Saccharomyces cerevisiae S288C: one gene and its partner. Changing the gene in region 1 together with any one later gene gives a genetic interaction. Each region holds a gene or a part of one and is shown on either strand. Other genes may lie near its edges.

The links. Genes that interact genetically often act in the same process or in processes that back each other up.
Region 2: mutations in PDE2 (region 1) and PDE1 impair growth when combined (synthetic growth defect), as found in Saccharomyces cerevisiae (8 studies listed by BioGRID, with this or other methods).

What each region holds. Positions count from the first base shown.
Region 1 is NC_001147.6:1,012,130-1,017,140, forward strand, and holds PDE2 (3',5'-cyclic-nucleotide phosphodiesterase PDE2), read right to left. Parts: upstream 2,693-5,011; coding exon 1,112-2,692; downstream 1-1,111. Other genes in the region: VTS1 (Vts1p), read left to right, coding at 1-631; PRT1 (translation initiation factor eIF3 core subunit b), read right to left, coding at 3,232-5,011. UniProt on the Saccharomyces cerevisiae protein: Controls the level of cAMP in yeast cells, together with the low-affinity cAMP phosphodiesterase (PDE1).
Region 2 is NC_001139.9:33,818-37,956, forward strand, and holds PDE1 (3',5'-cyclic-nucleotide phosphodiesterase PDE1), read left to right. Parts: upstream 1-1,835; coding exon 1,836-2,945; downstream 2,946-4,139. Other genes in the region: ZIP2 (Zip2p), read left to right, coding at 1-1,395; BRR6 (Brr6p), read left to right, coding at 3,116-3,709; RAI1 (decapping nuclease), read right to left, coding at 3,800-4,139. UniProt on the Saccharomyces cerevisiae protein: Controls the level of cAMP in yeast cells, together with the high-affinity cAMP phosphodiesterase (PDE2).

The sequences.
Region 1 (5,011 bases):
TCATGTTAATTCAAGCCCAAATCTCATTCCTGTCCAGAAACAATTCAACAACGGTAACAGTACCAAATATAAAAAGTTGCCATCAGAGAATCCCAACTATCTTTCTCACTCTCTCTCAAGTTCCCATTCTTTTTTCCAACCAAAGAAAAGGTCTAACATGGGAAATGAGTACAATTCTCATCACCATCATTCATTGCATCATCCTCTGCATAATACCACCTCATATTTTTCGAATACTTCAAGACCATCAGGAACTGATTTGAATAAGTCCAACCAGAACGTGTTCAATAATACCATTACGCATCCTAATGCTGGTCCTACAAGTGCCACATCGACATCTACATCATCTAACGGAAACACTCCTTTATCGAGTAACTCTTCGATGAATCCAAAGAGTTTGACAGACCCCAAGCTACTAAAAAATATACCCATGTGGTTAAAATCGTTAAGACTACACAAGTATTCAGATGCCTTAAGCGGAACCCCGTGGATCGAATTGATTTACTTAGATGACGAGACTTTAGAAAAAAAAGGCGTTCTTGCCTTGGGTGCAAGGAGAAAATTGTTGAAGGCTTTTGGAATCGTTATTGATTACAAAGAACGTGATTTAATTGATAGATCTGCTTATTAAATCTGGCATAATAAAGTTGATTGTCTTGACGTTGCATAAAGATTTAATTTTTATTTACTTTGCATATACCAACACAGGGAACATATTTCATTTATTTTGTAATTTTAACGTTTTCTTTTATGGAGTTTAATATTTTAGATTACACCTGTTTTTGCACCGTTTAATGGCATAAAACTATTTACTTAACTTTTAACTCGGGAAATATGTATCACTATACTAAAAAACATTAATTTAATCAAAGAAAAATAAATTTAATGTATGTATCTATATATATATATATATATCACTTAAAACAGACAATAGCCATAATCAACTGGGTTATTATTATACAATATTAAAGGAAGAACGCATATTTGAAAAAAAAATAAAATGGGTAATGAATTTTAGCACAAATACTTCACAAAAGGAAATATACTAGTAGTAAATGTATATATTTATATGTTTATACAATGAATGGTACAAGAAATTTTGATATTCTTGCTATTGTGGTTTCTTGTGTTTCATCCAGTATTCTTTATTGATTTTGACATTATCGCTTAAAAATTTTAATCCTGAGAATTTTTGACTTAATGCGTTGAAAAATACTTCAGCAAACGTATTAATGAAAAATATTTGACCGTTTGGAATATGCGGATGGTCTTTGATAATATCATCAGGGTCTGTTACGTTCACCAAAATATTTTGAATTGATTCCAAATCTTCTTTCGGAGAATCAACATTCTTGTATGAATCGCCAAAACAGTCTTGTTCTGGGCGGTGAGCTTTATGAAATGTTTCCAAAAGAGCGCAATCATTAAATTCGAGAGTAATGAGGTATGCCCAACGTGCTGATATTGACAAGGTTCTCGTCACATTAGAGATGTCTGCAGCTTTAATAATTAGAGATATCAAAGTGATTTGTTTCATTGGGTTTTCATGCATTAATCTATCCTCATACTGAGAATGCAATGCCATATCTGTGGCCAGAATAGCCTCGGAAATAAAATCAAATTTTTTTTTGGAGATAGATAGCAATTGAGGCCAATGCTCTGATAGCAATTGTTGAAATAATTCCCTGTGAAAATTCTCCAAGATAGAGACATTTTTGAAATTTTGAGCAACCTCTGATTCACAGTTGCACAATAGTTGATTGTTAGTCCCAGGATGACCGACATCATGACCTATGGCAGCCATACACAACAGTAATGTTTGTACAGGATTATCTTTAAGAAGATATGTACACAATCGCCATGTGGCTTGCATGACATCGATGGCATGCCTAAAATTGTGAAATTTGTTAACTTGATGATAGGATGATTCTAAAGTAAATAGTAGTAGCAGTAACTTATTATCTGCAATGAGTACTTTTGCATCCTTAGATAACTTTTTGATAAGCGTGAACCCGCACCAAATCAATTCTTGAGTGCTTAATGATAAAGCACAAAAGTCCCAAGTTGATAGAATGTTCCAATAATGTGATCCCTCTTGAGAAATTTTTTCTATTGGATCTGACAAAAAAGACATAAACTCGATGTTGCGAATTAGCCTTGGCACTGATGCCTTTCGTAAATGTTGTGCCTTGGAATCATTCAAATGCAATAATAAAGTGTAAATGTTTGCTTCACATGCTTGAGTGGGGACAGAATTCCCATTTACAGTACCATAGCTGTTTTTGTTAATACCGTCTGGAGTATCATCATGATGGTGATACATCCAGTGGTTAATTCTCGTTATTCTATTACGACAGATGCTATTTTCACGCTCAACACATTCAAGACGTTGCAGGTTTTCCTCTCGTGTATGATCTATCGCAGAAATATTGAAAGATGGGAAAAATCGCTTGAATAGAACATCCAATTGTCGCACAGATAATTGAAATTTTGAAGGGTCATAAAGAACTATAGATACGCCCGTTTCAAAGTTATGGACGTTTGGAAAAGGCGAAACTCTGTCCTTATACAATGCTACCATCAGAGAATCCAAATCTTGAAGCTCAATCACTCTATCAAAATAGTGTTCATTCTGTACAATTGTTTGAGATTTCTCAATCTCGTGTATTCCAATCAGAAAAAGGGTGGACATATCAATAGGTTATGTTTTCTTCAATTAAGTAGTAGTGATCTCAAAAAGAATGTCTGGATACTCTAATTAGTGGCTAATAAAGCGTCAGTGCAAAAGATAAAGAGGGACAACAAAATAATTTAAAAGAAAAACGCAAAATAGTCGGTAACTCGTGCTAAAACCAGTAACGACAGCTAATATCAGGAAGATCCCACTTTATCTCAAATTTGCGCTTTTTAGTCCAATCTCTCACAGTGACTATAGTTTTCAATTTGCAAGTATATTCTCTCTAAGCCAATTTTTCTTCTTTATAATGCCTAAAACAAAAAGAAAAGAGGAAAAATTGTGCCCAGTAAAAAGAAATTCTCGGAGAACAAAAAAAGAAAAGTGCAACTAGAAAAGGACGCAGGACCCTTTTATAATTTTGTACGAGGAGAGCGACCCCTGCAGATTACAAAGATAATAGAGCCTATTGTAGTATTTATGAATATTAGACTAATTCTCATACTTATACTAGATATTGTTGTTAGTTTACATACAAGCCCGTAAGTTCATGAAATTTATTCGACCTTTTCCTTTGTTTCTTCCAAAACTTCTTCAACTATCTCTTCGATGGTGGTAAAGTCATCGCTGGCATCTTCTGGTTGAACGTCAAAGATTTTGAAATTCATAGATTTTTCCATTTCTTGGCCAATTTTTTCTCTATATTCGGTCCATTGCTTCAATAATTCACGTTGGTGTAGAATCAAATCTCTCATGGCGGTGTCAGCTTCCATTGCATCTTGCTCTTCGAATTGGGCAGACCATTCCCTCAAGTTTTTCCTAACCTTTTTCCTTTCGGCGTTAGACAAAATGGAAGCTGGCCTTGGTCTCCAGGCAAAGTTCTTGAAGCCAGCAATGATGTCTTCTTTAACTAAGTTACCAGCAATATTGAAAATTTTGTAACCATGCTCCACCTTGTGTTTCAAAGAACTTGACCATGCGGTAACGTATCTACCAGATGGATCCCAAGTGATATTAGTAGCCGCAGAGTAGGTAGGATGAGCAACATCTTTCAAAGAAGCTGAAACATCATTATTGTCATTAATATTCTTTTCACCTGGATAGTCCATATCGTAAAATTGTAGGTCTGATCTACGCATGTTTGGACCCACTAAAGCACCTACAACCACAAATCTACCCGCTGGAGACCAAGAAACAGTGTTGGCAAAAGTTTTTGGAATTTCTTTGACCAAGCTCCATCTTTTAATTACGTCAGTCTTTTCTTTAGTTTCTGGAGCGTAAAATCTGATTGTATTTGCTGGGATAGCATAATTCATATCAGCTACTTCATGAACAGAAATTGTAACAAATCTATTTCCGTGGGGTTCCCAACCGAATTCAAAGACACTATCTTTCAATTCAACCTTTTCAACTGGTATATCTCTTTCAGTCAACCTACAAATTTGTAGATTACTGAATTGAGTCTTACCAGACTTTGTGTGACGTTCGACATTGAAGCACAGGAACTCAGCTTGGTTTTGCCAGTGCAGAGTTACGTTGGAGACTTGAACTAAGTTAACGGTTTTTAGCACTCTACCGCGAGGAACTTCAGCAATGGTAGCAGTACAAGCGGAATTATTAGTCTCAGGAGTCCAATAAGCCAATAAAACAGAAGGCTCGTCACCGTTTCTGAATGGTTGTAATTTAACACCTTCTGGAGCAAATGAGAAATCTCTAATACCAGAAGGCTTCAAAGCCTTAGCTTCTAATGGCATGAAGTTTTTAGTAGCATCGTGAACTATTAAACTGTCTCCAACCATACGAGCACAATATTTATCATTATAAGACCATCTAACTAAAGGCCATTTCAGATATGGGCTCTTTATCACTGGGAAAGTTGCCATCAACAGACCAGAAGCAATGTCCCAGATGCATAATTGATGACCCTCATTTTTCTTGGTAAATGGAGAGAATTCGTTATCTTCTTCTACAATGATTGGTTCCGTGGAGAAAGTGACCAGGTACTTTTCATTCGGAGAGACGGAAGAGTTTCTTACATCTGGATGATAGAATCTTCTCAAACGATCGAAGTTTGGACCACCCCATGCAGTTACACCCTGTTGATGGTAAGAAAACAAATAGGTACCCTTTGGGGAGAATCTAACATAATTGGTAGACCAGTTCTCTCTAGATTCCACCAAAGAATCTTCTTCATTGAACATAGAGTTCCAGAACACACTAGTCTTCACGTCATCTTGTAATACAAACTGATCTCTCACTTTGTCGTCCATTAACCAGGATTTTAAGGAACTAGATGGAACGAATGTAGGCATATCAGGCTCCCTGAATTCGGTGTCA
Region 2 (4,139 bases), on another chromosome or scaffold:
TTCAAGACCAGTTCGCAAAGCTGGGTTGTGAAAGTCCCAGAACATGATCAACAGCTTAATACGTTTGAAAAACGTTATGATGAACTCTTTGATGCTCAATTTAATAAACTAGAATTTTTTAAAATAAGAATGAAAAAATTGAAAAAGAATAAGCCAATTGAGAAAAAGAACTATAAAATATGGTGTCTAGAAAAAGAAGACCTAAAGGATTTGGTATGGGATCCTCTGAAAAGAATTTGCAATCATTCTAGGTATGCAATATTTGAGCATGTTACCATAAATAGGGAGGCCTATTCGATCAAACCATTAAGGTTAACTTTTCAAAAATTAGATTCCGGCTCCCTTGACCTGATCGATAATCAAAAAAAGACGTTTGGTAGTATAAAGCTTGCAATGAGTATGCCAGATGTAAAAAAAACTGAAAATCAGTCAATTGAAGAAAGTGAAAGACACGATGAAACTGCTATTGAAACCCAAGAATTTGATGAAAATGATTGTCTTTCATCTAAGGCGGATATTAATACATCATTAGCTCCTCAAAAGAGATCTTTCATCGATAATGAACTAATGTCCATGTTAGTCACCAAAAAAAAAATAAAGAAGGACAAGGATGTTAGTGACACCGGTATATCTTCCACTTCATACTTGATAAATTCTGGGACATATGCAAATTCTCATATTGAAATTCCTACCTCTAATTCAGTTTACAATGGAAAGGAAGATTGCTCATTTAATAACTACTCAGTAAAGCATTCAATATTGGAAGAAGATATTGAGAATAAATGCATAGCCGTAAATGAAAACAAGGTGATTGAGAACCAAAAGGTAATTCAGTCATTATGTAAAAATTCCCATCTAGACCTTATCGAACAATCTTACTTTGGCGAATGCGATTTCATTATAAACCATTCAACATGTGTATATAAAATTCAGGCGAGCCGATTTATGCAACTCAGAAATAACGGCTCATTGCATTACGATAAAGCGGTAAACGATCTTTTAACTGAATTTCAGAGAGTCATTATAATTGTGGAGTTTTCTGAAATAATACAAGACGTTGATCCTGATCTTTTCTGGAAAATCAAACTTTATTTATTGAATTCACGTGTTGATGTTTTTTTCATTCATGAGACTACTGACTTTTTTATTGATTGGATGAAATATTTCATTGCAAGATGGGCCTTTTCATATAACGATGAGAAAGAAAAAAATATTGCAAATGCCGATATTCTTCTAGATTTGGGATTTAACATCCTCTTAGTACGGAAAATTTTCCAGACATATAGTCTCGAAGAATTTTTTATGGCAATAATAAAGGAAGAAAGCAAAGCTGTTAAAATGCTTACGGTTTCACAAATGACTCGCCTGAAGAAGTTATTAACCTTAGAATGGTAAATCCAGCAAGGATCGTTACCCGGTAAACTATTTATACTACGCCTGCCTCTTTCGTTCTTCGACTACATGCTACAGTTAGTAAATTCAACCAAGGAAAATGTATTTATTAACATGAACTAGCCACCTAATTAACCCTTACCTTATTTTTTATACCCTTGGATCATCGGAGTATCTGTAGATCATATGTTAACGTATGTATAATATTACATCTGTCACAATAAACAACCCGAAAAAAATACCGCACGGAAAATGAGTTACTGATTAAGATGCACTTTTTGGTGAGGGTGCGTGACTTGAAACTAAAAATTACCAATAGTCAAACCCTTTCCATTTTCGAGGGAAGCAATATCTGAAATTTATATTTTTAGAAATTTCCAAGAGAAAGTGGCTTTTAACGAGGTTCTTCTTCTTCATCCCCTTTTTTACCAATATTCCTTTTTATGGTTGTATTCGAAATAACTATACTTGGGGCCAATGGAGGACCCACCGAATACGGAACACAGTGTTTTATACTTAAGCCTGCTAGAACAGAGGATCCAGAATTAATAGCTGTAGACGGTGGTGCAGGAATGTACCAGCTACGGGAGATGTTGGTCCAAGGGCGAAATGAAAATGAAGGTGATGATGAGCTTGTTCCAAGCTTTTATGAACATGATCGAGAGCCAATAGAGTTTTTTATTGATTCCAAACTGAACATACAAAAGGGATTATCCAAGTCCTTGCTACAATCATTAAAGAGGCAGGGAGAGCATTTTGAAAGCGCCAATACAATGAAGAAAACTTACGAGGTTTTCCAAGGAATTACCGACTACTACATTACCCATCCCCATCTGGACCATATTAGTGGGCTGGTAGTAAACTCCCCCTCAATATATGAGCAGGAAAACAGTAAAAAGAAAACTATTTGGGGATTACCGCATACTATTGACGTTTTGCAAAAGCATGTCTTTAATGACTTAATATGGCCAGATTTAACGGCAGAACGTTCAAGAAAATTGAAGCTAAAATGCTTGAATCCGAAGGAAGTTCAAAAGTGCACTATCTTTCCTTGGGATGTAATACCGTTCAAAGTTCATCATGGGATAGGCGTCAAGACTGGCGCGCCGGTATACAGCACCTTCTATATCTTCAGAGACAGGAAAAGCAAAGACTGTATAATAGTTTGCGGAGATGTTGAGCAGGACCGCAGAGAATCTGAAGAATCTCTACTTGAAGAATTTTGGTCTTACGTTGCTGAAAATATACCGCTTGTGCATCTCAAGGGTATATTAGTCGAATGTTCATGCCCATTATCTTCCAAGCCCGAGCAATTGTATGGTCATCTATCTCCAATATATTTAATCAACGAATTATCCAATTTGAACACTTTATACAACAGTAGTAAGGGATTAAGCGGTTTGAATGTTATCGTTACTCACGTTAAGTCAACACCTGCTAAAAGAGACCCAAGACTAACCATACTCGAAGAGTTACGATTTTTAGCTGAGGAGAGGAACTTAGGAGACTTGAGAATATCTATTGCGCTAGAAGGCCACACTTTGTTTCTATAATGTACACAACGTCAATAACATAATACTACGTAGATGAAAAGCGGAAAAATTCATTACCCGGGAGCAAGCAAAATACTAGTAGTAACTAATGAAACTTCTTTCCATTATTATTGATGAGTTAACTTATGTAGACTCATCTTTGAATCCCCTATCCCAACATAAGTCCCGGAATGGAACTCCGTAGTTTTTCTAGACAGCCTGATGGCATACTTGCTAACCCAAGATTGGGAAGGGAGGAAGTATTGGAAGGTGAACATCCGCAAGATGCTAGATTAGCCCGACAAAGCATTTGGTTGAGCCCAAGTTTAATTGCGGAGTATATACAGCTTTTTTTCAATTTTATTATAGGAACTATAGGACTGTCTCTTGCTATTAAATTCATTTTGATGATAAGAAACGATGTTAACTTAAAACTGGAGCATAACGTGAGGGAAGAATTAGATAAAATTGCAACTTGCAAATCAAGGTATTTTGAAAACCAGTGCGAACCTCATATGAGGGTTCCAGCATTGGAGGTACGTTGCAATGAATGGTCAAAATGTATGAACAAGGAAATAGTGTCTGGCTCCGATTACCAATGGGCTAAAGCATGGGCTCGTACTCTGGCGGAGGTAATAAATGCTTTTTTTGAAGCGTTCAGTATACGATCTTTCCTTTTCATTTTAATTAGCATAATAGGTATAATATTTGTTACCAATACGAGTTTCGGATCATACAGGGTTTATCTCAATAATAAAGATACAAAATCGGTTCGCCATGCATAGTGTATATAACTTAATCTAATCTGCACATTTATATTATTTAGATCCATACGTCGATGAGGATATGCGCAGGAAAGACATAAAGGAATATTGTTATTTCAAAGATTTTCTCCACTCCTTAAACCCGTTCGATAATATATGTTCTCCATCAATCAAACCTGAATATTCCTCATCACTTTCTTCAATTTCGGATAATCTTAGGTGATTATTTTCGAAAACCAACTTAAATGCTCTTATTTGAGAATGAGGATCCTCATCTCTTGGTATCATTTTCAAAAGCCACTCAGTAAGGAGACCATACCATTTAATGGCTTCTAAACATGCACTTCCAACTTGTGGATTATTGTTCTTTAATAAAACAGGTACTTCCTCCGTTGAAAACTCTTCCACAGTTTTTAATACATAATGGTCGTCTTTAAAACCATATATGATC